Linked DNA regions of Callithrix jacchus. The protein of the gene in region 1 binds, or shares a complex with, the protein of each later gene. Links are inferred from orthologs where the notes say so. Each region holds a gene or a part of one and is shown on either strand. Other genes may lie near its edges. The genes, in order: KCNQ1 and KCNE3.

Region 1 (14,241 bases):
GAGAGGGGTGGGTGCTCCCAGAGACAGGGCCAGCCCATGTGACAGTCCTGAGCTAGGAACCTGAGGAAACTGGCTCTGGCATGAGGAGGGCAGTGCCCAGGGGGACTGAGGTGAGGAGGGCAATGCCCAGGGTGCTATAGGGGCCCAAGATGAAGAGAGCAGTGCCCAGGGGGCCTGAGGCAAGGAGTGTAGTGCCCAGGGTTCTACAGGGGCCCGAATTGAGGGACCCTCGGCCAAGCCCAGCACCATGTCTGTATCCCAAGAATAGTGGGGAAGCCTCGAGTGTCCTCACCCAGAGAGGGGACATTGTGGTGGGGAGATCAGCAGTGGCAATTGCTTTCTCTGGTTGCTGGGAAGAAGAGGGGGTTACAGGCCCCAGAGGCCTCCGTCTTAGAGAAAAATGGTGGCAACTTGGGACAGCCTGAGGGAGCCGGGGCAGAAATGTCCCGGCCGAATTCAAGAATATCTGGGGCATGCCAAGGGCGGTTCAGGTGTGGGCCCTACCTCAGGAAGCCAGACTGACCTCACGTGGCTCACGTCCACAGGCAGGATCGGGGACAGGTGCAAAATGTTCACATGCTGGTCGGGCACCTGGATGTGCATGAAACGCCGTGCAGAAAGAAGAAAGCAGGCTTGAGGCTGGGGGCCGGGGCGCAGGGAAGCAGGCTGGAGGGTGAGGCCCAGGGTGGGGGCTGGGCCAGACCACAGGGTTGGGAGGGGACTCACATTGATCCAGAGCCACTGGGGGTTGGAGCCCATGACTGGGGTCTGAGTTCCAGTGGAATGGGGCCACCCTGCAGGGCTGGAGAAGGAGGAGAGATGAAGTGTGTCTCTGGCCCCAAGGGAGCTAGGTTTGCTTGTGGTTTTCTGGGGATGGCATGGGGCATTGCTGGGGCCTAGGGGCTGCTGCACTCGGGGGTCCCAGAGTGCCCAGGAAGTGGTTGAGGGCCCAGGGTAGGAGATGATGTGCGGGCAGCAGGGCCGATGAGGGCAGACCTGGAGCCGTGACGCACGAGCGGCCAGGCAGCCCCTACTCCTGCTGCCCACCTGCCCCCGTGGCTGGGCTGGGGTTTGGCTGAGGCTGCAGAGCGCTCGCTGGCTCCCGGAACAAAGTGTTCTGCCTGGCGTCCCCTGGCTTCCAGGCCTCTGAGGGCTCGCCAGAGGGGGCAGCTCAGGAGGCGGCGCAGAGAATGAAATGCAGCTGGGGCCTGTGCCCGCCGCCAGCACAAACACCGCTCCTGGGCCTCCAGAGCCTTTCTGCAGCCTGCCCTACATTCCCGCCGGCCTGGCCCCCAAACAGCGATCAGTGGAACCAGCCCTACCCGGGGTTGTGCTAAGTGGGCAGGTGGGCAGCTGCCCCAGCTCTCAGACAGAGCGGTCCCCGCCTGGCATCTGCCAGTAGGACGCTCCTGAGGCCAGGCTAGAGATGGGCCAGGCCCTGAGAGTCTCGAGCCACCCATCCCAGCCTGGGGCTTCCCCACCCCTGCCCACCTGCTGGGCAGCAAGGCAGCTCCCTAGCCTCTGTGTGCCCCTGAGCCTCGCTGCCCAGGCCCCTTCCAAGAGAAGAGGGCAAAGGGGCTCTAATGCCACCCAGAAAGTGGTGTGCCACGTGGGCCCTCCCCCCCAGCTCTGCCACTGACTCCATGATCTCTGTCGCCACCCTGAAGTTGACACAAATGTCCGCACAGAGCAGCCTCCGAAGGGCTGCGAGACTGTGGATGTGACAGCTCCGTCTCTGGCACAAATGTCAGCCCCAACCCAGATGCAGAGAGGGAGGGGGGTGGCTGAGCGTCCAGGAGCATGAGGCCACGTGGCACCGGCTCGCGTCAGCGGATACGGCACACACAGACCCCTGGGGGCTGTGACGAGGTGAGGGCTGAGCCGAGGGAGAATCCAGGAAGCTGGCCTGGCCAAGAGGAAGAGAGGGGAGGCCCCGGTGGCTGGAGCCAGCTGGGGGAGGGGAGGCAGCAGGGGCTGGGATCCCTTGGCTCTCACAGCCACGATACAGACTCCGTTGTTTGTTCAGGGTACAAAGGGGGCTTCTCCAAGTTCTCAGCAGAGGAGCAAGACCTCTCTGACCAGGGAGATGCAAAGAGAGGTTATGAGGTCGCCTGGGAGAGGGTGGGTTCCGGCTGCCCTTGCCACTCCCCCGCTGGACACCAGGATGAGCCTGTCGTCTCTCACCTCCAGAGAGCAGGGCCCTGGCTGCCAGCATCAAAGCGTGTACAAGAGTGTTCGTTAGAGCAGATCCGTGTAGTCTCCACAGTACAGGAAGACTCGTGGGAACTTTGTGCTGTCGACCCTCGAGGAGCACAGGGCTGGGGCACCGACCTCCGATCTGCCCAGGCGAAAGCCCGAGTATAAGTTTTGACTGCCCAGAAACTTCACTAATAGCCTCCCGTTGACTGGAAGCCCTTCCAGTAACATAAACAGTCAATTAACACATATTTGTATGCTACACATATTACAATAAAGTAAGCTAGAGAAGCAACGTTAAGCCAGTCATAAGGAAGAGAAAAGACACTCGGTGTAAGCAGATCATCGTGAAGGTCTCCGTCCTCATCATCTTCATGTTGATTTGGCTGAGGAGGAGGAGGAGGAGTGGCTGTTACCATCTCGGTGCCAGAGGAGGAAGAAAATCCATGTTGAAGTGGACTTGTGTTGCTCAGGGTCCATGATATACAAAACGGACATCCTAATCCAGTGGGGAAAGGGTAGCTCATTCCGTAAATGGTGGGGTATCAAGAGGATAACCCACAAAAGTAAGCCTTCAGGTCAGAATCAATCCCATGTGATCCAAAGATTTAAGGGTAAAACACAAATCAGGAAAGTGTTAGGAACAACGTTTTGGCATTGGAACGGAGGAGGCCCTTCCCAGCACGCACAGGGTCAGAAGGCAGAAAGGAAAAGATGGATGGCTTTGACCACATGAAAACCTGAAAACATAAAACCTCTGTGTGACAAAGCAAAAAAAACACCAAATGCCATAAACCCACTCATAAGACAAATAGTACACTGGGGAAAAACGTGTGTGATGCGTACTTGACGTCTCCTTGACGTGCAGAGTCCTTACAAATCAGTGAACACGAAAAAGCTCATCTTTGCTGAGCACCCGCCCTAGGAGGGAGTGGGCGTAGGGGGCTTGTACCCCTTCACGCCAGCCTTGGCGCCCCAGGAAATTGGCCAGGGCCTCATTTACTGATTCAACAGATATTTGTGCAGCACCAACTCCACGTATTTACTGGGCACCTTCTAGGCTCCAGGCTCTGGGAGACTGTCTGGAATTGAGATGGTGACCGCGTGGCCTAGAGCTGGGCCTCCAGCTGGTGGCAAAACAGCAAGCGAGGAGATCAATAACCAGGCCATCTCTGGGAGGGTGAGGGCCGTGGGGACAGACACGAGGGAGGCCACCCAGGATTTTGAGCTAAGGTTACACAAAGCAGCAGAGGACGGTGTTCCAGGCCGAGGGAACAGCGGGGGCAAAGGCCCCAGTGCTCGACCAACATGGTCACACTCAGTGCTGGGGAGGGGCCAGTGGAGGAGACACACAGGAGACTGGGTTTTACTCCCAGTGCAGTGGGAATTCTGCAGGGGAATTTGGCAAATCATCGCGGGAGGGAAAACTCAGTCTGGCTGCTGCCTGGAACACGTGGGGACGGGTTGGGGGCACAGCCACACGGCGAGGGGGTTGTGACAGTCCAGGCAGAAGATGCCGCCAGCCTGGGCAAGGGCCGTTGGGAGTAGGCTCAGAGCACACACTCCAGACCAGAGAGCCACAGACACCAGGTGCACACAGGGAGCCTGAGTAGTCGGTCACACCCTGTGGGTGCAGGATTCGGGCCGGCTTGCAGGGAATGAGCTCCCGCTGGGACACGATAACCTTCCAGGCTGTTGGGCGGCATGCCTCGGAGCCCTTGGGGAAAGCAAATAGCTGATGGGAAGCCCTCGCAGAGGTCCCAGCAAGGGAACCAGAGTTGTGTGTGATGGTCCTGAGAATCTCCCACAGCGGTCAGCCAGGGACGTGGCGCCCCTGAGGCCCTCGGGAGGCCAAGCATGGTCGGTGGGCAGGGGCTGGCAAAAGCAGGTGTCGGCGGCAGGGGGAAAGGTCTTTCATCATCCTGGCCCTCTCTCAGAGGGAAGCAACCCCGCTCCTGGGGGGTGGTCTGCAAGGGCCAGCCTGGCAGCTGCAGCCCCAGGAAGGGTGCTGGGGTGGTGCCGACCAGGCCTCCACCATGTGGTCGTGCTGTGCCAAGGACATGCTGGGGATATAACTGACCATGAGTGGTGTGGGTCCCCAGCTTCAGCAGGGCTTCTTCTGGCTGCTCGGCAGACAACAGCAAGATACCAGGGATGGCAGCGAGGACAAGGCTGTGGTCTGCAGCCTGAGCAGACACACTCAGCTCAGCTCAGTGCCTGCCAATTCAGCCCCTCCATGAGCGCCAGTCCCAAGCCCTTGCACAGTGGCTGCCACATTGTGCTTGACTTTCTGGGTCAAGACTCACCCAGCTTGGACACTGCCCAGTCGAGGGCTGCAGGGGACAGGTGGAGCAGCTGGTATGTGGGTGACCATGGGTCCCAGAGTCAGTGCCATCTGTCTCCCCTTTGGGAGAGGACCCCTGGCACCAGCCCACGCACCCCTGCTGTGGGACTTGCCGCTTGTCCCAGCAGCACTCCAACTCCTGTGAGGGGGGCGGGGGCTGCTCACTGCCATAGCACATGCAAAGGCCCAGGGGCCTGGGGGCACAGGCAGGTGCACCCTTGGGCAACTCAGAGAAGAACCTGATGGGAAGTGAAGGGAATTGTGCAAAACCACCACAGGTGGTCCTCACATTCGTGCACAGTCTCCCACACTCTAGAGCCACAGGCACACATGTGCAGACTCACCCGGCATGCCTCCCGTGTGCACGACAATGCTCCTTTGGCCCCAGCTGCCAGGCACACATGTGTGACTGTATGTGCGCACTGGAGCACTCCCTAATGATCATGGTCGCCAGGTGTCTCGCCAGGCACCAAGCTCCACGCTGTCCCTGGTGTCCTCGTGTGTCAGGCTGCTTGATCCCCGCAGCATCCTCCTGGGGAAGGGGCTGCAGCCACCCCCACTTTATAGGCAGGGAAACTGAGGTTCAGAGAAGCAAAGTGACTCGCCCAAGGTCACCCAACCAGGAAGCAGCAGTGGCAGGATCAGACGGCAAGAAGGCTGCTGCACACTCCCTCGAGGAGGTGTCATGCCCCGGCCAGCCTGTGTGCCCAAGGCCCGGCAGTGGTGTGCCAGGCTCTGAGGCCATCTCACACTGGCCACAGCACAGCAAGTTCCAGCAGGCCCGACAGTAAAACCTCGGTCATGAGCGACACGGTCGATTTTCACGCAAGAACTGAAGCACTAAAGCAAAATCAAACACGATGGGCCGCACCCTGCCATGAGCTACCAAGTGCTGTGACCTGTTGCCGCTCGTGCCCGGCTCGAGCCGGGGCTGGCATCCAATTGCTCAGAGCCTGGTATTCAACATTCTGGGTACCACTGTGAGGGGAGCTTAGTAACTTCCTCAGAGTGGACAGGAGGAGGGCCAAGGTGACCTTTGCTCTGTGACCCTACAGAGAGCCCTGGGAAGGCCCTGCCTGGCCTTTAGACACTGCCCAACAAGGATGCCAGAGGGAGCAGTGAGTTTGCTGCACCCTGGGGAGCTGTGGCCCAGGCAGAACACAGGAGCCCCACCCTGGGAGCCATGGGTGTGCCCGGCCTCTCCTGCCTGTCCCTGGCCAGTCTGGCATCCACGAGACTGGGGCCTTTGGCGGTCCTAGGCGGGGATCAAGGCCAGGCAGGTTCTGCAAAAATTTCCCTTGAAAGACTCTTTTTCAAGATTTTCTTTTGAAAACAAATTCATAACCACATCAAACAGGAATCCCCGTTGCCTTGGGTTTGATCGCTGGCCGCCCGGGGCTCCCTAACTAGCTGTTATTCTAATTGCTTTTTTCTTCCGAGGGCTGCATAGGTATCTTATGGTTATTAATTTGGTGAGTGCAGGCTGGGCACAAAGCAGCTTTTGTCTGCCTTGCCTTTTAATCACTATCAAATTGCAAATAATGGCGGGGGCTGAGATCCCCAAAATTGATCTGTCCCAGCAGCTCTTGGGGAGCCAGCCCCCATGCCCCGGGCAGGCACTGCCTTCCCCAAGGGCGGCAGCTCTCCGATGGCACCTGCCGGGATGCACCTTCCTGTGGGTGGGGTCCGGTGTCGGCCACACGGGGTACCTCTCAGGCTCCTGCATCACCACCAAAACCAAATATGCCTGCAAGACAAAGGTACCCTATGCAGAATGGGGGTGGGAGCCTTCAGGGACCCATGCCATGGCAAGTGCTTGGGTCAGAGCTGAGCCTCAGGGGCTGCAGAGGAGCCACCCTTAGCCCAGACCTGGGCCCTTCCCATAATGGGAGCAGCATCCTGATGCCTCAGATGTGGACCCGCCCTGGGCTTCCAGCCCACATCCTGGCCCACTGCCGGGGCCTTGTCTCCAGCAGTCAGGATCATGAGAGCATGTCTCTGGGGCCAGAAACCCAAAGCCAGCCCCTCAAAGCCCCAGGCACCACAGGCAGCAGTTGAGGTGAGCTTGGGACCGGCCAGAGCCGGGTATGTGCTGATGCTGGCCCAGGCAGCTTCAGCGAGAGCTTCCGTGTCAGTCGGAGGCGAGCGTGGCCCTGTGGCTGCCTCCCTACCCCAAAGGTGGCTGAGTGCCTCTCTCCACGGTGCCAGGGCTCCCTGCCGGGAGGAGCTGTCACCAAGGTGGCTCAGCCACACCCTCAGCCTGCACACCCTGCCCGTGGCCCTGCCCCCCTCCCAAGCATCCCTTGTGAAGGCCTCCATGCCCATTAGCACATGTGGGCTTGGACAGATGTTCAAGTGCCGTAAAGTGAAAATTTATGAAACCGCAAATGTTCATCTGTGATGTATTTGGTGCTTTAATTAATGCCAAACCAATCGATACCCAAGCTGGGGCCTGCGCAGTTAGTGACAGTAAGCCAGGCAGAGCCGACCTCGTTCAGCGCTACCAGCATACAGGGCCCAGGGAGCTGGGTGGGCCTAGGACACAGAAGCTGGGCTTTGCCCTGGAAGACCCAGGCTGGCTGCACCTTTGATCCGCTATGGTCTCATAGGTCTCTGGGCCTCAGTTTCCTCCTGTGCACCCTGAAGACCGGGCAACCTCCCATGCCCCTGTCATGCACAAGCAGGTTGTGGGACTCAGAGGGCTGGGCCTGCTGACAGCGGGAGCCACAGGGGCCAGGGTGTGGGTGAACGAGAACAAGACCTCAGGCTGTCTCCCCTCCCAGAGGCCCCGCCCCACCCTGCCCTCTGCTGTCCCCAGCTCCCTCCCTGTCACCTACCCTGTGTCCCTCCTCCCCCTGCCACGGCAGCTCCGTGGTCTCCAGATGGAGACTCGGGGCAGGAACTTCAGGGAAAAGATGGGAGCCATGGTACCCTCAGCAGTGACCCTGGCCCTCTTCCTGGGCCTCAGTGTCTGCATCTGTGCGATGGGGTGTAGACCTCTGTGGCTGGTCCCCAAGTGGCTTTTCAGGGCACTAAAGCGCTGGCTGGTCCTTGCCTGTGAGGGAGCCTGGTGTAGGGCCCTGGCCCCTGCCCCTTTGCCGAGGAAGCCCTGCACCCTTTCCTACATAGCCTGGGCTTCACATCAACACCATCAGGTTGATCTGGGGAAAATAAAACATGGGGCTCCCTCTGGCCTGGACCATCAGACCTGGGACGTGCCCCTGCCCCTGGGCCTGGGACAGAGGTGTCTCAGACAGCCCATATCTGAAGACAGAACTGCAGGGGAGCTGGAAGCCTCCATCCAACAGCCCCCTCCACCCAGGGCTGGGAGTGGGTCCCCTGGGCCCGTGCTCTGGGCAGGGCACAGTCCTACCTCCCAGGTGGAGGCTGCCCACCTAGCCCTCTAGACAGACACTTGGCCCCACTCTGGCAGGAGCCCCCTCATCTCAGCCTCTCACAGTGCCCTGCTGGCCACCTCTCCCCTACACTGCTCAGCCTCCATGGTGGCGGGGAGGGCTGATGACCACAGCACCCAGCCTCTGAAGCTGGCCTGGGCCTGCCCAGACCCTGGCAAACTGGTTGCTCCCTCTCTGGCCACCTCGGGGCTCGTGCCCACAACACTCAGCAGCATGTTCCCTCGGGTGGTCTCACCCGCACAGCATCCAGCCCTGGCCCACACCTTGCCCCAAGCCTTTCCGGCTGGATCTGCAGGGGGGCCGGGCCCCCAAGGGGCCAGGCCTGCCCGGAGCAGCCTGGGGTACAGACATGGAGAATGCACAGCCAGGTGGCCCCAGCTCCCGCCTGCCGCCTGTCCTTAGGGCCAGTGGTTGACGCTGTGGCTGAGTCATCTTCGTGCCTTTCCGCAGAGCCACACTTTTCCCAGAAGCAGCTCTGCTGTTCAGCCCTTATCAGGTGTGATCTGGTTGCCCCTCCTCCACCACTTCTAGGCCTTTCCAAGGCACCAGATACCCTAGGTGGGGGAGGGTCTCCTTCATTCTCCACAGAGCATGCTGCTGAGGGGCTTTCCTGTAAGAACGCTGCAGGCTGAAGGCCCAGCCCTGTCTCCTGTGACCACCATCAGAGCTGTTTGTCCCCACTAGACACACTCATGCTGGGGCCCCAGGTCCACCCTCCTGGTGAGAGGGGTCCCCAACCTGGACTCCCTCCCCTGCACTGGTCTGCCCTGGGGTTGGCCCTGCTCCACCCAGCACCTGCTCTGAGGGTGCTGGCCTGCCGGACAGGCTCTCCCACTCTCCCCATCAAGGTTGGATGGCCACTTCCCACCTGGGGACGGGCTCCAGCCTCATTCCCCAGCGGTGCTGTCCTTCCAAGGAGCTCTCAGACCACCTGGCTCTCCACTCACCTGGGGCTTTTCTGTTGACTCCGAGGCCCGGCGAGGCCTCTGAGCACCTGCTCTCTGAGCCGGCTTCATTTCAGGCTCTGTCCTGCCTTGACCACCTTTGCTGCACGGCCACCCCAACACGCAGCTCACTGCAGAGCAGTCCCTGAGAAGGCGAAGAGCACATAGCTAGCCAGAGGGTGCGCTGGGGGGCACTGCCCTGGCCACAGGGCATGGATGCAGAAGGCATCTGGGAAAATAGCAGTGCCCAGCAGGTTAAAGAAATGGTATAGCGGTGCCTGGGGGGTGACAGCCCCACCCTACCCCCTGGCAGAGAGCATCGCAGAGGCACAAGCCCTGGGTCTGCAAGCCCCTCCTGGAAGTGGCCCAGTAGAGGTATCCCTTACACACCAGGCAGAGCCCAAGGCCTCTGCCTTCTCAACCACCTGAGGCCCTGCCCATGAACCAGCCTTGCTGAGCTCTGCCCTCTGCCCAGTTCTCCTCCAGACTGAGTAGATGAGGCCCCAGCCTCCCTTGACCCTTACCCTAAGCCTTGCCTCCAGAAGCCAAAGGCTGCCACAAACACAGATATTTCAGGTCTGGGTCCCTGGTGCAGACCCTGTGATGTAGGGATATGGCACAGATGCTGAGCCAGCCCCAGGGGGCACAGGAGGAGGAGAGGAGGGCCCTGACCGTGAGCCTCCACGCCTGTGGACACACAGGCACTTTGACATGCACGAGATGGACTGCAGTGGCCACACGTGCACATTCCTCACACACACATGGGCGTGACCAAGGGCCTTGCAGACATAGGGTGTACACATGCGTGCCGCCTGCACACAGCAGAGACGGTTGGCACCTTCTCTTCCCCGGCCCCGAGCCCAAGCCCAGAGGCTGCCTCCTGCCACCAACTCTCTCGTCTGCCTTTGTCCCCACAGGTGACGCAGCTGGACCAGAGGCTGGTACTCATCACCGACATGCTTCACCAGCTGCTGTCCTTGCACCGAGGCGGCCCCCCTGGCGGCAGCAGCCCCCCCAGAGAGGGTGGAGCCCACATCACCCCGCCCTGCGGCAGTGGCGGCTCCATCGACCCCAAGCTCTTCCTGCCCAGCAGCGCCCTACCCACCTATGAGCAGCTGACCGTGCCCAGGAGGGGCCCTGATGAGGGGTCCTGATGGGGGATTGGGGTGGGCCTGAGAGGGGTGGCGAAGAGTGGCCCCACCTGGCCCTCTCTGAGGGGGGCACCACACGGCCATGGCTTCCTCCTGAAAGGCCCAGAGAGGAGCCCCGCTCTCATAGGCCCCAAAACCCCGTGGGCCCTGCTGTCTGCACAGCCTGAGCCCGGGGGCTCAGCAAGCTCACCTCTTCCTGGCCGGTGGGTACTAGAAGCTGGCTGGGTGTGGGGGGCCCCGTCTCAGGCCTGAGTTCTCATCCCTACTGCCCTGGCCCCCACATGTGATGCTGACATCACTGGCATGGTGGTTGGGACCCATCAGCAGCGTACCAGGCCTGGCCCACCTATGGCCAGGAAGTGGCACGAGCTGAGCACAGACCCAGACTGCTCGGGCCAGAGGGCTTCCTGAGGGGAGGCAGAGCAGCCCCTGGACCCCAGCCTCAAATTCAGGACCCTGCCAGGCACAGGCAGGGCAGGACCAGCCCTCACTGACTACAGGGCCACTGGCAATAAAAGCCCAGGGGCCCATTCAGAGGTCCTGGGGCTGGCTCCCTCACTCTCAGGAAATGCCGGCCCCCATGGGCAGGAGGGGACTGTGCAGGCTGTTCCTGAGCCCCCAGCTTCTGGCAGGAGGGACAGTCTCGCCATCTCCCCAGGGCACAAGGCTGAGTGTGGGAAATGCCCCCTTCCCTCCCTGTCTTAGACTGGCAGCTCTTCCTGGCTAGAGAGAAGCCCCACCCCCAACCCCCACCCCCCAGCCCGCTCTGCACAGGGCTCCCGCCTCCAACCCCTCACCCAGTCCAGCAGCCAGCCAAACACACAGAAGGGAACTGCCACATCCCCTCGCCAGCTGCCGAGCCGCTGAAGAGTCACGGTTTCTGCAGGGAACAAGGGTTCCTTCTGGGCATTACATCGCATAGAAATCAGTAATTTGTGGTGATTTGGATCTGTGTTTTAATGAGTTTCACGGTGTGATTTTGATTATTAATTGTGCAAGCTTTTCCTAATAAACATGGAGAATCACAGGCTGGGCTGGGCACTGCTCTCACCTTGGTTCCTGGGGCATCTACGGGGTCTCTGGGACAACATGGGGCTCAACCTCCATATCCCCAGCCTGCTCCTGCTGATGCCTGCGGGACTGTAGGTTGCTTCCTCCCCAGGAGACCCCACGCACCCACAGACAGGACCCCCAGGGTCAGAGGGGCTGCAAGATGCCAGTGTAGGCTGTAGCCCAGCGATGTCGCTCCTGACCTGGGCTCTGGCAGCCCACCCTTGGGCCTTGACCCCTGGGCCTCCCATATGCTCACCCCTGTCCTCCTCTGGGCCTCTGTTTCCCCATTGGTAACACAATGCTCCCTTAGCCTGTCCAGTCCTCTGAGCAGGACAGAGGGGCCACCACCCCATCCACCCAACCTGACCTAGTGGTTACAGCTCTTTGCAAAGCCCTCCTCTCCTGAGGTGGAAACAGCACCTCACTCTCAGACACGGACACACTCAGCCAGGCAGGTGCACCTGCTGTGCCCGCGCCTCAGCTACTGGACCATTTCTTGATCCTTCAAGACTGTAGCCCCAGCCAGGCACGGTGGCTCAAGCCTGTAATCCCAGCACTTTGGGAGGCCGAGACAGGTGGATCACGAGGTCAAGAGATCAAGACCATCCTGGTCAACAAGGTGAAACCCGATCTCTATTAAAAATACAAAAAATTAGTTGGGCATGGTGGCGCATGTCTGTAGTCCCAGCTACTCAGGAGGCGGAGGTTGTGGTGAACCGAGATCGCGCCATTGCACTCCAGCCTGGGTAACAAGAGCGAAACTCTGTCTCAAAAAAAAAAAAAAAAGACTGCAACCCCTTTCTGTCCTCTTTCCAGAGCCCACCCCGAAGTCCCAGGCCATCAGGACTGGGGGCATCTGAGCTCTCAAAGATGGGGCTGTCCTGGGTCCACTGGAGGCAGCAGGCAGCCAGCAGCAGGTGGCGGGGACAGGAGCCCCAGGTTTCTGTTTGGAGTGGGGATGGAAGCCTTGTCAGAGGAGAAGCCCTAGGTCCCACCTGGTGCCGAGCCTGCTGGGCCCATGCCCCCACCCATGGGCCTTGGCATCCGGCCTGGCCAGCACTGAGCAGGACGCAAGAGGTGGAGGGGCAGCGTGGGGCTGCCCAGGCTTCCCCTGCCTGCACCCACCCGGGAGGAGCAGGAGCCACAGTTACTGAAAAGGCAGGAGCTGTTGTTTCCTTGTTGGGTAAATATTTGTGGAAACCCCGGATGCCGGCCGGAAAGCAGAGCCCTCCACAGCGCCCGGGCCCCCCAGCCCCTGCCGCCCACCCCGGGACCCCAGCCCACAGGGAGCTCCGAGGGACCGCCCATCTGGGCCAGGCGAGGCCCCGGCACCCACCCCGCCTTGTTGTCCGTATTATGGACTGTGCACAGTGCCCGAAGACTCCACTCCTGGACCGGCCATTGCAGCCCTCTCGGGTGTGAAATGCAATTTACCTGAAATAAAGCCCAATTATGGAATTAGCTAATTAAAGCCTTGGTAGAGGCTGGGCCCAGCCGGCCGGGCACTCAATGCCCGCTGGTGCCCGTGGACTGAGGGAACAGATGGCGCCTCAGCCCGCCATGCCGGCCACATTCCTTCACTCTGTCCCCCGATAAGTGACCTAGACAGCACACGACCATCTGGTGTGTGGCACGTCCTGCAGGCCCCGGACAATGGCCCGGCAGACCTCTCCGAGAGAGGGCCGTCGCCCGGGTAACGGTGGCATGTGCAGCCCTGGCCCATTCACGGCCCCTCCCGCAGCCCCTTTCTTCGGGCCCTTTGTGGCCTCGCCGCGGCTGCCTGGCTACTCTGGCTGAGGACAGCCGAGAGTGTGTGTCCGCAGAGCAGGGCTTTGTCTCCAAATTGGGCTCCCTTATTAAGGTCCTCGGGGTCCAATAGGTGCCAGGAGCATCTGCTGGGGGTGGCTGGGGGAGGGGCTGCTCCTGCTTCCTGGGCACCCACCTCCTCTGCCAGGCTCCCCTCCCCCATCGCCTGCCCTCAGATGGCCCCTTGTGGACACTGGGCGTGTCCCTGAGGAAGCCAGTCTCCATGGCTGGCACTGGCCAAGCCCGAGGTTCTCCCATCTTCTGGCCAGGGGGCCAGGAGGAGGAGGCAAGGGCCGGGCCTGCCTGCAGCCCCTCGCCTCCCACCCCAACCCTGTCTGCAAAATGGGGAACAGTAAAAGTGCCACTGGAAGGGGTGTCACGGACAGGGGCTTGATGGAGGTGAGACATGTCAGCTCTGGGCCTAGGCCAGGCACACAGCAGGGACTTAATAAAGGAAGCCAGGCAAACCACCTGGGTGGGTGATGCTGGGCTCTGCCTCCTCAAGGCACTCCTGCCTGGCCAGCCTGACCCCTCGGAGCTCTTTCCCAAGGCCCCTCCTGCATCCAGCCTCACCCCACCAAGCTCCCTGCCCCTCAGAGCCAGGGAGAGCTGTCCGGCTGGCAGCTCCCCATCCTGCTCCCAAGCCAACTGTGGCTCCCCACTGCCAAGCAGGCCTGTGAAGTCCCACAGGCTGCAACCCTGCCACTCACCCTGGGCATCCCCTGCCAGGAGCCCAGCTTCTCCTGCCTCACCCTGTACTTGATGTCCAGCCCCAAGCTCCCAGGAGGCACCGTCCTCCTCCCCACTCAGGACCACCTCTGAGCACCATCTTGGCAGGCAGCCCCCCACCAGCATGGCGGTCAGGAGTCAGGCCCACCATTGGGGTGTAGGGTCTGTGCTAGGCCTTTTGGGCCCCAAAAACAGGCAGGCGGCTAACAGTGCCTATTACAGGACTGGCCCCAGCTGGGTGCCCAGGAAGTGCCAGTTAAATTAAGAAATAAAATAAAAATGTAGATGGAGGCTGCCCCCCATTGCATGTGCAGCAGAGGTACCAGGACCCAGGCAGGGCATCAACAGGCATCCCTCTAAGGGACAGGAGAGGGGCCCACACCTGTGCCCTGAAGGAGGGGGTCTGGCCAGGGGTTTTGATCTGGAGCAGCCGAACAGCTGCTGGAGGGAACAGAAAAGCAGCTGAGATCCAGGGGCTCCTTGGGATCTTAAGCGTGTCTCAGCTTCACCATTCTCGGCCCCTGACAGACCAACCCTGCTCTTGCCTCTGGCCCTATTCCTGTGGCCCTGGAGGTCCAGCGAGTTGGGAGATCAGGCCTGTG
Region 2 (14,969 bases), about 63 Mb from region 1:
CTTTTATAAATGCAAGCAATTATATGTTATCAAAAAACATACTTCAGCATTAAAAGACATAGACAATTTGAAAACAAAATTATAAAAAAGAAAAAACATATATCCAGTCTGTTAAGTGGTTTTCCTAGCTCTGCTCACACACCTCCAGACAGAGAGCATTTACTACCTCCTGAGGCAGCCTTCCATTCTTGCACAGTTCTGATCGTTAGACAGTTACTCCCCAAAACTGAAATTTGCCACTAACATTGTGGCAAATAATTCTGCCCCCCTCGCAAGACCTCTGAAAAATCCCTGGCCATGCTCTACATCCCTCTCTGGTGGTACTGACCACACTCTATTATAGTTCCTTGTTTCCATGCCTCATCCCATCCAGACCGTGAGCTCTCCAGGCAGCTCTATGTCATCCATAACTTCTTCGGCCCCGAGTCCTGGGCCTCCCACAGAGGAGGTGTCCAGAAACAGTCTGTGGAATCAGGAAATGAATTCTATCTTAGAAGTGGTCTCTTCTTCAAGTTAAGCATTGCTGATTCTACTTATGTTCTTCATGGCTTCCAGACCGCACACCACTGCCCTTATCTCCATAGGCTCCAGTTGACTAATGTGCCCTTAATCTATGTAGCTTGGAGTTGAAGACAACATGTATGGTATGGTCTGGCCAGGTTCAAGCCTGTGCTGGACCCTGAGGGCAGAGATGGGTTCAACTTGGTCCATCTTCAAGTAGGTCACAGTCTTGTAGAGAAGACACACTTGTAAACAAACACGTGCAGTAAAGTGTTACACACACTGAGAGAAGCTTGCATAGGGAACTGTGGGGACATAAAAGAAATGCAAAGTCTTAAAAGGGAGGATTAGGGCAGAAAAGGCTCAAAGTGACACTGAATTAGTGAGAACTTTAGGTTCAAGTGAAAAGAGAATATTTAGATCTCATAACTGAAATGACTGTGGATAGACTTCAGGAACAGATTGATCCAGGGCCTCAAACAATGGCATCAGGACTTGGTTTTTCTTTCTCTATCCCTTAGCTCTGCTGACCTCAAAATTGGCTTCACTCTTTCCTGTGTGGTGCCAAATATGGCTGCTGTTCACACCACACTTAAATTCTATAGCTTAGCCACCCCTACTTTCGTATACATGCAGCCAAAGGCCCAGGAAGGATTCTGGACAAATAATTGCTCTAAGGAGGGTCACGACCTCCTTGGAACCAACAGATGGGACTTAGCCCCACCTGAACCATATGGGCTGAGAGCCAGGGAGGGAAAGGTGACTCCCCAAAGGGAAGAGATACATTTCATTCCCAAAAGAAGGAATTCTGGGAAGGCCAAAACATTCGATGTCCACTATGGCCTCAGAAGATAAGTAAGGAATTTGGGGATAGATAAGAAGACATAGTATGTTCCAGGCAGAAGCAGCAGCATGAGAGTCTCTGAGCTGTGAAGCTGTTCTGGGGAAATCAAGTGCTTGTCTTGCTCCAGACTAGAGCAGGTGCTTTGGGTGCCCCATGTATATTCCCCTAGCCTTTCCATTTCAGTGCCATTTCAAATGTCTATTGGAAATAGACATTTCAGGCTGGATGCAGTGGCACACTCCTGTAATACCAGCACTTTGGGAGGCCGAGGCAGGAGGATCACTTGAGCTCAGGAGTTTGAGACCAGCTTGGGCAACATGGCAAAACCCCGTCTTTACAAAAAATGCAAAAATTAGCCAGGCATGGTGGTGTGCATCTGTAGTTCCAGCTACCTGGGGGGCTAAGGTGAAAAGATAGTTTGAATCCAGGAAGTGAAGCCTGCAATGAGCCAAGATATCACCACTGCACTCCAGCCTGGAGCCTGAGTGACAGTGAGACCCTATCAAAAGAAGAAAGAAAGAAAGAGAGAAAGTGGGGGGGGAGAAGGGAGGGAGGGAGGGAAAAGAAAGGAAGGAAGGAAGGAAGAAAAGAAAGGGAAGGAAGGAAGAAAAAGAAAGAAGAAGGAAGGAAGAAGGAAGGAAAGGTAAAAAAAGAAAAGAAAGGAAGGAAGAAAAGAAAGAGAAAGAGAAGGAAGGATGAAAGAGAAAGAAAAAGAAAGAAGGAAGGAAGAGAAAAGAAAAGAAAAGGAAAGGGTCTATTTCCACCTGCCAGGATCTGCACCTTTTGTCTCAGGACTTTTGGAGGGACTGGGGCTGTCAACCCATGTATCTGGCTAGATGTGCTAAAGAATTCGTGTCCCCCAAGCAGCCCTTTTTTGGTGCTTCCAATCTTCTACCTCCAAATTTATCAATGTTTAGAAAGCAAGCAATAGATATGGGTATCTTTTAGATAAGGGGCAGCACTGACTCCCCTACCCCTTTGCCTCCAATGAGGGTAACTCTGGATGTGTGTTATACCCAGGCCTCTAGGGTTCCCTAGCAGGGCTAAGCTTGCTAAGCGTACACCTTATTATAGGCTCCATTCTCTCCTGTCTTACTTCCCACGCCCCTAATCGTGTTTCCGTGGATCACATCACACATGAACCACTTGTGCTCAAATCCATGACCCAGGGCCTGCTTCTGGGAAAATCCAAAATAGCCTCAAACACATTCTTCTAAAAACAAAGCTTAAGTCAGTGTCAACACTTTGTGTTTTGTTTTGCTGCCACATTATCCTACTTACTTAGGCAGGATAACAAATGTCTATAACCTCTGAGGCACAGACCCTCCTTCCAGGAGCTCCTAATCTGAGGGGAAGCCAATAATAAGCATTTCATGGTTTTCAAAGTGGCTTCTCAGCCATGTGTCCATTTGCTCCTTGGAACCCTGCGGGATTTGCAGGACCACAATTCTTGTTTTGCAAGTGAGGAACACAGAAGCTCAAAGTGAGGCAGTGACTTGGTCCAGGTCCCAGAGCCTGTGATCCCTGGCTGACTCCTTTCTTGGCTTGTGCCTGTGTCAGCAACATTCAGGTGGTCTCTTTTCACTAAGAATAATTAGAGGATCCCTCCTTTCTCTGTGGGTTCAGCCAGAGCTCCAGTAAAGATACCCATATCTATTGCTTGCTTTCTAAATATTGATGACTTTGGAGGTAGAAGATTAGAAGCTCTAAAAAACAAACAGCACTCTTTCCCCCCAGGGGCCGCTCCATCTATTGCCCTCTCTTGGGCTAGAGTCTCTCCCAGTGAGAGCAATGTTTTTCTGACCATGTGGAGGCTCATGACGTTGGGGCCATTCTTCCCATATCAGACTGTATCCTCCCCCAAAAAAGGGACCCACACCAGGATGATACATGTGAAAAAGGGGAGACTAGTGGGATGAGAGCAGTCAGGGGACACAGACAAAGGCATCTAATTTAGGACAGGGGAGATTTCTGGGAGGAAGTAGCATCTAAGGGTGAGTTAGCCAGCTCCAGGAGGAAGGGTGTTCCAGGCAGAGAGAATAGCATAGGCAAAGGCCTGGAGATGACAGAGAGCATGTGGGTGTCCCCCTCCTAATCCTGTCTGGGGTGAAAACCCAAGCTCGCAGCCTCCTCCCACATTCCTTAGTTCTCCTACTCCTTCCTCCTACCCCTCGCCTGGAGCAGGCTGAAAAGGAACTGGGAAGGACCCCACCCATCTGAGAGCTGCACAGCCAGTGCTGGATCCTTCCACTTGTCCCTGCATGGGCCCACCACCCTTCTCCACCCACAGTGGGCCACCTGGCTCTGGAGCTTCCATCTGGGTTGAGCCAAAAGGAGGCAGTGGTAGAAGACCACAGGATGGAAGGGGAGGGAGGGAGAGGTACTTATTCTCCCGGCTGTCTCCCTGTGGGTTAGCCTCTATGAAAGACCACAGCTCCAACCTGGATGCTCTTCCGACCACTGCCCTCTCTGGGTTCCAGTAACCCCTTCCTCCCCTTGCGCTGTCAGCCCAGGTAGTTTCCATCCTCACTGTTGCTAGCCAGACATAGTGCACTATTTATTGATTTCCTAAACCCTCACCACACTCTCTTTAAATACCCATTTTCATTTTTTTATGTCTCCAGTGGTGCAAGAACCAAAGGGTAGATGTCAACAGGAGGCAGTTTTTGTTAAAATGTGAGAACATCTTAGCAATCAGAGCTGTCTGGCTGCATTGCAGGCAATGAGCTCCCTAGAGGTATGCAAGAGAAGCTGGACAGCCTCATGCCAAAACTGAAATAGAGGCGGGGCGTGGTGACTCCCACCTGTAATCCCAGCACTTTGGGAGGCTGAGGCGGGCAGATTACTTGAGATCAAGAGTTGGAGACCAGACTGGCTAACATGGCAAAATCCCAACTCTACTAAAAATACAAAAATTAGCTGGATATGGTGGCATGCCTGTAATTCCAGCTACTCAGGAGCCTGAGGCACAAGAATCACTTGAACCTGGAAGGCAGAGGCTATAGTGAGCTGAGATCACACCACTGCACTCCAGCCTGGGTGATATATCTCCAAATATAAAGAAATAGAAAGGATTCATTAGGCTTATGAGGGATTTGACTAGGAAACTCTTGAGAGTCCTTTTAATTTACATTCTAGAACCCTAAGATGATTCAATTCTAAGACTTTGGTTCTAAGATTTTATTAGCGCAAAAGACAATCCCTATCTTCAAAGAACTCACAATCTAGCAGATGAGGTGGATAACGGTTACTTTCTTTTTTTAAAAAATATTTTATTCTTATTTTTTTAATCTAGGATCAGGATCTGAGACTTTCAGTAACTGTCATAAACAGTCCTACAGAGTAAATACAAGGCCATGTGCAGGATATGAGAAGGAACCCTGACTGAACCAGGACTGTTTCCTCATGGCTAGTCTCAAGAACCATTTGTATCAGAGTCATTTGGGAATCTTGTTTTAAAATGCTGATTTCTGGGCTCCACTCCAGATTTCCTGAATTAGAACCTCTGGAGTGGAACCCAACAGTCTATCTACTAAAACAAGCTCCCCAGGTGATTTTTAGGCAGATTGAAAACAGGTTGCAAGACAGGCACAGTGGTTTGTGCTGTAATCCCAGCACTTTGGGAGGTGGAGGTGGGCAGATCACTTGAGCCCAGGAGTTTGAGACTAGCCTGGGCAACAGGGCGAAACCCAGTCTCTATAAAAAAAATACAAAAATTAGCTGGGCATGGTGGCATGTCCCAGCTACTCAGGAGACTGAGGCAGGAGGATCACCTGAGCCCAGGAGTTCAGGGCTGCAGTGAGCCATAATCACTCCACTGCATTCCAGCCTAGGTGACACAATGCAACCCTGTCTCAAAAAAAAAAAAAAAAAAAAAAAAAAAAAGGAAGAAAGGAAGGAAGAGCGAGAAAGAAGAGAAGAAAAGAAAAGAGAAAGAAAATTGAGATTGCATCCTTAGGTGGGCAGGATGACTTCTCTGAGAGTTGATCTCCAGACTGAGAAAAAGGAATTGTTGGGTCAAAACATGTAATTATAGAATACGGAACTAACATGTTTTGAGGAAGATTAGCAATTTTGTACAATATAGCCACCTCGTAGAAGGTCTAAAAAGGATAGCACTTCTAAGATATATTCTGAGATTCTGTAATTGAGGGTATGTGCCTCAGATATCCTGAAGCAGACCTTTGAAAGGGAGTGAGAGAGCTGGCCTGAGGCTGTTATTAATTATTCTAAGGCAGTGAGCTGGTAAAAGGGTGCTCCACAGGGTCCCTGGGAGACCGTTCCCTGCAACTGTCCCTTCCTCTGCCACTAGCCTCCTGGCTCTTATTCCCCAGCTGTCCCTGGCTGCCCCTGTTCTCTGAAGCCTGCAATGTCACCAGCAAGGAAACAACAGTTTGAGTGAGGGCAGTGTGGTGGGAAAATAAGCTGTTCTGGGGCAGAGATGAGTAAGGTGCCCCAACACAAGTTGGTCAGGCACTGTTAGGAACTTTTGGGGCTTGGTGGGAGGAAACATCTGCCCGTGCTAAGCAGAGAGAGAGGGGTGTGTAGTGGATTTTGGGTCTGGGCTCTGCCACTTGGGCATGTCTCTTCTCCCACTGGGCCTTCTGCATCCTGTGTGGAAAAGAGCGTTTTTGGAAGAATTAGATTATCTCGCTGTTAACCCTCTGGTTTTAGTACTGCGGACTCAAAGGTCTCATCTGATCCCAGACATAAGCCTGTGAAGAATGCAGGCAGGAACTGTTCCAACTTTACAGCGAGGCCAAGGCCTGGTGAGGAGCAGCGACTCGCCCACGGCCACACAGCCACACTGGAGCAAAGCCCACTCCTGGTGATCGGCCTCATGCTGGGCTTGCTGAGGCCCAGCGGAGCGTGAGGCTTTCGGTCTCTGGGCCAGGAAACAGCCGTTGCAGGGGACGGAAGAGTCGGAGCCCACAGCTGGGGGAGGGCAAAGGAGCTGGGCGGAGGCACCCAAGGCCAGCCAGGGGAGAAGTGGGTGTGCTGGAGCCCGGGCGGGGCCGGGGGAGGGAACTCCCGGGGGAGGGAAAAGGGAGCCGCACGCGGGTGGGAACGCGGAGCCAGAGGGTGCTCTGCGCAGTGCTGGGCGCCCGCCGAGTGGACCAGGGCTGGTGGAGCTCACAGGATCACAGCGTCCCGGCCACCCTCGGTCAGAGGGCGTTGTATCCAGCGAGCAAACGGGCGCCCCGAAGCCTTGCGGAGAGGCAGGTAAGGCACCCATCGAGCTGGGAAGGTTGAGCTGCAGCCTGGGGTAGAAATGAAGGGTCTTCCCTCCTCCCTTCCTAGGGCCACAGCGTGCTCTCAGTGAGACTGTGGACCCGAGGTAGGTGTGGGGGGTGCTGCATATACTGAGCCAGTCCTCCCGGACCCTCCCCAATCTTCCCAACCACAGTGATCCCAGAGCAGCAAGTGGGAATCGGGAGCTGGGATCTGCGCGCCCCGCCTGGAATCTGTGGGGACTTGCGCGGGCACTCCCAGCCCTCAAGACGGTGACGAGAAAAGTTCCTCCACACTCACAGACAGGCAAGCGAACATCTGCGTCTGGCAGCCAGTGCACGCGCAGAAACGACACTTCAGGACGCAGTGCAGTCTTATTTGGCCGGAGCCACTGGCTCTGCGAAGCCCACTTGCCCATTCCCTCTACCTCACTGTGTCCCTCACTCTGTCTGACCTAGTCCGGGGAAAGCAGGCGACTCCCAAAAGCATCTTCTGCTGCTAGTAACATAGGTTGAGTTTGGAAGTCGGGAGACTTGAGTTACAGGCTGTGTAAACCCGGGCAGTCACCCCTCCACTCTGTGCCTTGTGCTCGCTTTTCCTGGGTCACCATCTGTAAAATGGGCCTCCTGCTCCTGTTGCCTGCATACTCCATGGGACAGGAGAGGAAAGGGGGATTGGACCTGGGAGTCTCTTACCCTGAAAATAAATGAGTTGGCTGGGTGCAGTGGCTCATGCCTGTAATCCAAGAACTTCGAGAGGCTGAGGCGGGCAGATCACAAGGTCAGGAGTTCGAGACCAGCCTGGCCAATATGATAAAACGCTGTCTCTACTAAAAAATACAAAAATTAGCTGGGCGTGGTAGCACGTGCCTGTAGTCCCAGCTACCCGGGAGGCTGAGGCAGGAGAAGTACTTGAACCCAGGAGGCAGAGGTTGCAGTGAGCTGAGATTGGGTCACTGCACTCCCACCTGGACACAAAGCAAGACTCCGTCTCAAAAAAACAAAAAAGAAAAAGGAAAAAAAAAAAATGAGTTTAGTCCTTGCTTGAAACTCCACCAGAGTATCTCCTCCTAAAATCCCCTCCCAACTCTACCAATTTGCATATAGAGAAACTGATGCCCCAGGGGAGACGATTTACCAAAGGTTGCAATAGCGACCAGACAGAATTAGAACCCAAGTTTCCACAGTCCTAGCCCAGGGCTCTCTCCACTTCACCTATAAAGGCCTATTGTAATTGTGTGAGCTCCTCATCTCCTTGTATGCCTCCACTTTGCCTATTCCTGATGGAGGAGACCCATGCTGGAGCTCTGGAAACTGCTTTCAGTTTCTTGACTCCTTGAGGTGATAACCTCAACCCTTCTCCATCCCTCACTCACTCCATACTTCTTAAAGCACATCCATAAAGTTAATGTGGGAGTGCTTAAAATACCTTCTACAAGGGAAGCAAGACAAGAAACTTGATCTTATTGATGAGGAAAATGAGGCCTAGAGTGATAAAGTTACTTAACCAAAATCCACCGCTAGATGTGTTGGCATAATAGGGGCAGGAACCCAGGTCTCTTGATTCCCTCTCTGATGTGTTCTCCACCAGCTACAGGACTACAGAATGGTACCCCTCAATGATAAGGGACTGCAGGGATGATCAGAGAGGGTGAGAAACAAGGAAGCCTTCTGGTGAAGTTGAGGTTTCTGGGAATCAAGAATAGTAATAATAACCTCCTGGCTGCTTCTGAGGCTAGGAGAGCTGGGGTAAGAAAGGAGACATAGAGATGGCTGTTCTTGGTAATATAGGGGGAAAGAAAAGATGTGGAGACAGAAAAGGAAACAGTGTGACCAGGCTGCTTGATAGTTATCTTGTATTTTGCAGTTTCTAAAACTTTCCCAACTATTGTCTCCTCTAGTTCTCATGTGAGGTAGACAGGGCAGGGATCATTATTCCCAACTTATAGATTAGGTTCAGAGGAAGTAAATGCAGTGCTCAAGGACACAGAGCCAAGCATACAGCCAAGATTAGAATCATGAAAGGAACACTTGAAAGGCAAGATCACAGGCTGAGGGACCGAGAGTTGGACTGTGTGTGTGTGCAGTGGGCAGGTGTATGTGGCCACACCCTGGGTAGGTACACAGGGAAGAGGGTTACAAAGCCATTGCTGGTGTTTTGAAGCCAAGAATGTTTGCCCTTTGGATTGAATGGGGTCCAGTTACAGAAAGCGTCTGGGCTTCCAAAGAAGGCTTAGAATTCTTCCTCCTCTGACTCACCCCACCTGACTGAGATGGCTTCTTTTCTTTGAGCCATCCCTTCCCCAGACCAAATGAAATCTGGAGGTTGCTTTTTAAATATTGTAAGCTGTTTTCATGAATGTATATGCATGTGCCAGAGCAGGAGAATGCACTTACAGAAGTGGCATTGATTCATTTATTCTTATTCTTGAATGCCTGCTAGGTATCCGGGCTGGGAAATAAAATAATGTATGAAGCACAGGACCCTACCCTCATACCTCAAAGTACACAGTTACACACACACACACACACACACACACACACACACACACACACAGTTTCAGTACAGTATAGTGTTCTAATAAGGCTTTGTGCAAAGCACTTTAACGAACAAACAAGAGGGAGAGACTAACTGGCTAGGGAGTGGGGAAGGAGGTGTCCCAGGAGAAAATCTACAGAGATGACATTGGAGCTGGGTCTTGAAGGATGAGTAGGAGTTTGCCAGGCAGGTCAAAAGAGGAAGGGCATTTTCGTTTAAGAAAACAGCATAAGCTACTTGGTTTCTGCCTCCAGCTCTGCCACTGCTGGGCTGTGAGACCTTAAGCAGGTGATTTCCTTGGGGAAGAGGGTCTATTCTTCCACTGGTTGAGTGAGGGAGTTGTACCAACAACATGATCGTGAAGATCTCTTCCAGCTCAGATTCTATTCCTGTGTCCTTCCAACTGGATGCTAAGGTCTACTCCTTTAACTCCCCTCCCACTCCATCAGCTCTCCAGTCCGCAGGAGGGATAAGACCACCAAGGGGACAGAGGCAAAACTGTGCATCCCAGGGGCTGTCTTTGGATTGCCTACCTGCTTTATGTGATCTTTTTCTACCTGCCTCTCTACTCCATTTCCAGACACTGAAGACTCTCATTTTGAAAGAGTAGCTAAAACGGAACAATGGGAAAGACCCAAGTGTAGAGTTTCACTTTTCTCCAGAGCAACCTGAATGAAAACCCCGCTAAGATCCCCAGTCCATCCTTCAGATCACAGCTTCATCCCCCAACTTCCAAGTTAGAAGCTAAACAACTGCAAGACAAGTACATTTTGTGAGAACTGGTTAATGTGTGGGAAATAGCAGGAACAGAGAGTGACCTGGCTCATCTGGGGAATCTGGAGTAGGTCTGGAGCAGTTGGGTGCATGGGAGATGAGAGCATAAAGGAAGGCTAACTCCTCCTCCCAAGCTTACCAACCTCCATCTCACTGGATCCTTAACTAAGATTGGCAAGAATCTGTGGTGCAGGAAAAGGCTATAGTAATAGAGTTAGAGGAGATGATGCCCCACAACCCTAAGAGGCTGTGTCTGGTGTGATGTGAAGCTTTGATGCGAGGGAACACTGCCGTTTGTAGTGGAAAGAGCACCTGAACAGTATCCCAAACACCTGGGTTCTTGTCTGAGTGCTGCCATTTATGGGCCATGTAATTTTGGACTAGTCACTTCTCCCTTCTGAGCCTCAGTTTCCTCATCTATGAAAAGGAGGGGTTGACTCGGTATCTAGATTCTAGATGATCCTTAAAGTCCCTTTCAGATTGGCCATCTGCTCACCTTCCTTCCTCACTGGCCTATCTTCCATTTCAAGGCAAGCCCTCTCCAGGGCAGGAGCTCCGTCTCCCCCATCCAAGGAGCTTGGTAATCAGGGACTCTCCTGGAGAAGGAAGCCAAGGAGCTTGGAAACAGTGGCAAAACTCCTCTGCTGATGACTGCCAGTCCCCAGCTTGAGCCCCAGAGGCAGGTCATAGAGAACCAACCTATGACTTCATCAGCTTTCTGCCTCTCCTAACTCAGACAGGAGGCCCATGCACCCAGGCCCTCCCTCCCACACAAACCCAGGACCTGGAGATATGGAACTATGGCCTCTTTTGTCCTCCTGTCAGAATCACAAACATCCTGGTCTCTTCAGAGAGGCCCTGAGGCATGAAAGGTTTCCTGAGTCTTTATTCCCCTCATGGAACCCTGCCTCAAAGCCTACCCTGCCCTCCACACTGGCCTTTTCCCCTACTTTCTGCAGGGTCTATCTCCTCCTTAGGCTAGATCACCCTGCAGGGTAAGCTGTTAAGAGGAAAAATGAGTAAGTCCCTCACTTTAGCTCAGCTGGAATATTAGGTGTAAGTTAGTCCCAGGGCTCAGAAGCATCTTAACTAGTGAGGAAAAGGTCCACAACCTTCTCTATCTTGGGATTTGAGAGGCTCTAGAAAGCCCCCAAGATGCCTCTCCCACCAGCCTCTCCAACTTCTCATGGTCTCATCATGTGGCTTCATACCATCACAGGATGTTAGAACCAACTGGAACCCCTTCAGAAAAGGGAAGTCTATGTCCAAAGTCACACAAGGAGCTGCTGAACTGGGACAACTCCCTGGGTTTCCATTCCTTCTCTGTAGTGAGGGTATTTAGCCTAGAAGGGCTCTGAAGGCCCTTCCAGCCTCTGCTCTACAAAAATAAAGCCACCACCATCTGTGTACTGTCTAGTGCCAAGCACTACATCATGTTTTTTAATTTTCACATCAAAGCTATGCTACAGATAGTGTTCATTCTGAGTGTTCATACCCTGTCCATCCAAATAGATTGGGTGGTAACACATCATTTGTTCCTATGTAAAATATCAACTCAGCTGCCAGCAGGCATTCTCCCATTCACATCATTCCCTTAGGATTCTAAAAGGCCCTTGCTATGGTAACCCTTAAGAAAGGGAACGTTTCAGGCCGCACCATCAGCTGGCCCCTGAATGGGAGTCCACATGTTTAACAGGTTTCTCATGAAGTCACCCAATGAAGACACTCTGAGTCTGGAGTTGGGGGACAGCAATTAGAGGCCCCTTGGACACTGCATAGTTCCTTTAACTGCAACCCTAGGCTGGCCTGACCCAGCTGCTGCAGGAAGGGGAGGAGCGGTGGGAGAGGTCAGAGGCACAGCGGGACTATTGCACAACCCTTGGGGCTTGGCCTTGGGCAATCCATTCCGATTCTGAAGTTTGTGCTTTGTAACTGGTTCCTTCCTTTTATTCTTTCTCTCCTGCTTTCCAGCTCTGGGCTTTCCCAGGTCTAAAGTCAATACTGAGACCCCAGATGTGTCCAGTGACATCCTGAAGAGGCTAGGGGGTTGAGGAGCCTTAGGGTGTCCACATAGAGAGCCTGAAACTGACTGAGAGCCAGCGGATTTGTCAGCTGTCTGGTGAGTCTTCCACACTCAGATTTCCCTCCCTCTCCCTGTCAGTTAAAGCCCCTTTCCAGTGATACCTAAGAAAACTGAATGGTCCTTCCCCTAGATGGAGCTCGGGATGACTAGGAGCTTTCACCTTCACTATATGTGCTGTGTCCATTCCTTTTTTTCTTCTAACCTACATGTACATATTTGCTTCTCTAAAAAAAAATTTTTTTTTAATTTAATCCTCTTCTACATAATACAAGTGTATGCTCACAGCAAGCCTTGAAGGAGGAGGGCAAGGATGATCATCTTTCTTTGTGGTTTTTTGTTTGTTTTTGTTTTTGTTGTTTTTTTGAGACAGAACTCTTGCTCTGCTGCCCAGGCTGGAGTACAGTAGCACAATCTCAGCTCACGGCAACCTCCACCTCCAGGGTTCAAGCGATTGTCCTGCCTCAGCCTCCTGAGCAGCTGGGAATACAGGCATGTGCTTGGCTAGTTTTTTATTTTATTTTATTTTATTTATTTTATTGCATTTTAGGTTTTGGGATACATGTCTAGAACATGGAAGATAGTTGCATAGGTACACACGTGGCAGTGTGATTTGCTGCCTTCCTCCCCTTCACCCACATCTGGCATTTCTCCCCATGCTATCCCTCCCCAACTGCCCCCAGCTGTCCCTCCCCTATTCCCCCCAATAGACCCCAGTGTGTAGTGCTCCCCTCCCTGTGTCTACGTGTTCTCATTGTTCATCACCCGACTATGAGTGAGAATATGAGGTATTTCATTTTCTGTTCTTGTGTCAGTTTGCTGAGAATGATTTTCTCCAGATTCATCCATGTCCCTACAAAGGACACGAACTCATCGTTTTTTATTGCTCCATAATATTCCATGGTGTATATGTGCCACATTTTCCCAGTCCAGTCTATCATCGATGGGCATTTGGGTTGGTTCCAGGTCTTTGCTATTGTAAACAGTGCTGCAATGAACATTGGTGTGCATGTGTCCTTATAGTAGAACGATTTATAGTCCTTTGGATATAGAGACGAGGTTTCTCCATGTTGGCCAGGCTGGTCTCGAGCTCCTGACCTCAGGTGACCCACCCACCTGGGCCTCCTAAAGTGTTAGGATTACAGGCATGAGCCACCACACCAGGCCTATTTTTTTTAATTGTGTTTTTTTTTTTTTTAAAAAAACTAACATAAAACTGTACCATCTTAGTTATTTTTGAGTGTACACTCAGTAGTGTTAACCAAATTCACCTTGTACAGCAGATCTCCAGAACCTTTTCATCTTGCAAAACTGAAGCTCTATACCTACTGTACAACTCCATGATGATCTCTTTTGGTAGATGAGGAAACCGAAGCCCCACTAGGCAAAGGAACTTACTTCCTTCAAAGTAGGTTCCTCCAGACACTTAACAGGGTTTGTCTCTACCTGTGAAATTGCCTGAGGCCCCTTCGCCCTTCAACCCTTAGGTTAGCCATTCCCTCCTCAGGTCTCACATCTGTCTCTAGCCCCACCCCCACTTTGTTATCCTCTCTGCCCCGACTCATGACTCAGCATCTTGCACTAAACTATTTCAAGACTCTTGTAGCTGGGCTCACTGCCTCAACTCTAGCTCCTTCCAGTCAGCATGACAGCCAGAGTATCCTTTCCAGGCACAGATCTGACCATTTTATCTTCTTTAAAATACTTATTTCTTGGGAGGCCGAGGCGGTTGGATCACGAGGTCAAGAGATCAAGACCATCCTGGTCAACATGATGAATGTCTTCTAACAGTGCCACGCAGTCCTGCTGAGAGCTGGCATGGAAATGGAAGCAGCTCTAAGCTAGCCACAAAGAGTAGGGCTTTCTGTCTTGGCTCTGTCTCTAACATTCTGTGATGATGGACAAGCAACTTACTCCTCTCAAGGCCTCAGTTTCCTTGTGTATAAAATGGCAAGAGTTAACATGAAATAATCCCTAAGGTCCTTCTAAACTAAAGTTCAGTGATTTATAGAATCCAAAGAAAGGAGAGATTAATATGGGTTCTGATGGTCAGGGAAGACTTTATTCTACAATTATTTATTGAGCACTTGTTGAGTGCCATCATAAGTGATTGTATATAGCAGTGAGTAAAACAAATATAGGCCCTGCCTTTGAGTGTGTAGCCTAGTGAAGAAAACAGACATGTAATCAAGTAGCTAGAACAAACTATTGTATTAGTCCATTTGCATACTGCCATGAAGAAATACCCAAGTCTGGGTAATTTATAAAGAAAAAGAAGTTTAATGGACACAGATCCACATGGATGGGGAGACCTTATAATCATGGCGGAAGGTGAAGGAGAAGGAAAGGCATGTCTTATATGGCGGCAGGCAATAGAGCAGGTGCAGGGGAACTGCCCTTTATAAAACCATCAGATCTCACAAGACTTATTCACTATCATGAGAATAGCATGTGAAAAAACCATCCCCATGATTCAATTACCTCCCACCGGGTCCCTCCCATGACATGTGGTGATTGTGAGAGCTATGATTCCAGATGAGATTTGGGTGGGGACACAGCCAAACCATATCAGCCATGATGTTTGGATTTTACCTGGGATCTGAGGGGATGACGTCATTCAAGTTACAGATGACAGAGCCATCCCCTCTCTCTTTTCTCTTGCCACCAGAGCTTCTACCAAGTCTTCCCCCACCTCAATCACTATTGCTATGGAGACTACCAATGGAACTGACACCTGGTACAAGAGCGTGCATGCTGTACTGAAGGCTCTAAATGTCACTCTTCACAGCAACTTGCTCTGCCGGCCAGGGCCAGGGCTGGATTCAGGGCCAGACAACCAGACTGAAAAGCAGCGGGCCAGCCTACTTGGCCGTGATGACAACTCCTACATGTACATTCTCTTTGTCATGTTTCTATTTGCTGTCACTGTGGGCAGCCTCGTCCTGGGATATACCCGCTCCCACAAAGTGGACAAGCGTAGTGACCCCTATCATGTGTACA

Evidence for each region.
Region 2: the proteins of KCNQ1 (region 1) and KCNE3 are in contact, whole or in part, in a cryo-EM structure (PDB 6V01), measured with the Homo sapiens proteins. The link is inferred for Callithrix jacchus from reciprocal best matches to the Homo sapiens genes KCNQ1 and KCNE3. Residues at the interface, in NP_000209.2 of Homo sapiens: Arg116, Pro117, Thr118, Gly119, Trp120, Cys122, Phe123, His126, Phe127, Phe130, Leu134, Leu137, Ile138, Val141, Leu142, Ile145, Gln147, Tyr148, Arg181, Met238, Val241, Asp242, Gln244, Thr247, Lys362, Asn365, Ile368; in NP_005463.1 of Homo sapiens: Asp54, Asp55, Asn56, Ser57, Tyr58, Ile61, Met65, Phe68, Ala69, Val72, Gly73, Leu75, Ile76, Leu77, Tyr79, Thr80, Arg81, Ser82, Arg83, Val85, Lys87, Asp90.

The regions. Positions count from the first base shown.
Region 1 is NC_133511.1:129,007,249-129,021,489, reverse strand, and holds the end of KCNQ1 (potassium voltage-gated channel subfamily KQT member 1), read left to right. Parts: intron 1-9,817; coding exon 9,818-10,054; 3' UTR 10,055-11,078; downstream 11,079-14,241. UniProt on the Homo sapiens protein: Pore-forming subunit of the voltage-gated potassium (Kv) channel involved in the regulation of cardiomyocyte excitability and important in normal development and functions of myocardium, inner ear, stomach and colon.
Region 2 is NC_133511.1:66,457,625-66,472,593, forward strand, and holds the start of KCNE3 (potassium voltage-gated channel subfamily E member 3), read left to right. Parts: upstream 1-6,414; 5' UTR 6,415-6,568; intron 6,569-6,752; 5' UTR 6,753-12,008; intron 12,009-12,342; exon of another isoform or gene 12,343-12,477; intron 12,478-14,637; 5' UTR 14,638-14,677; coding exon 14,678-14,969. UniProt on the Homo sapiens protein: Ancillary protein that functions as a regulatory subunit of the voltage-gated potassium (Kv) channel complex composed of pore-forming and potassium-conducting alpha subunits and of regulatory beta subunits.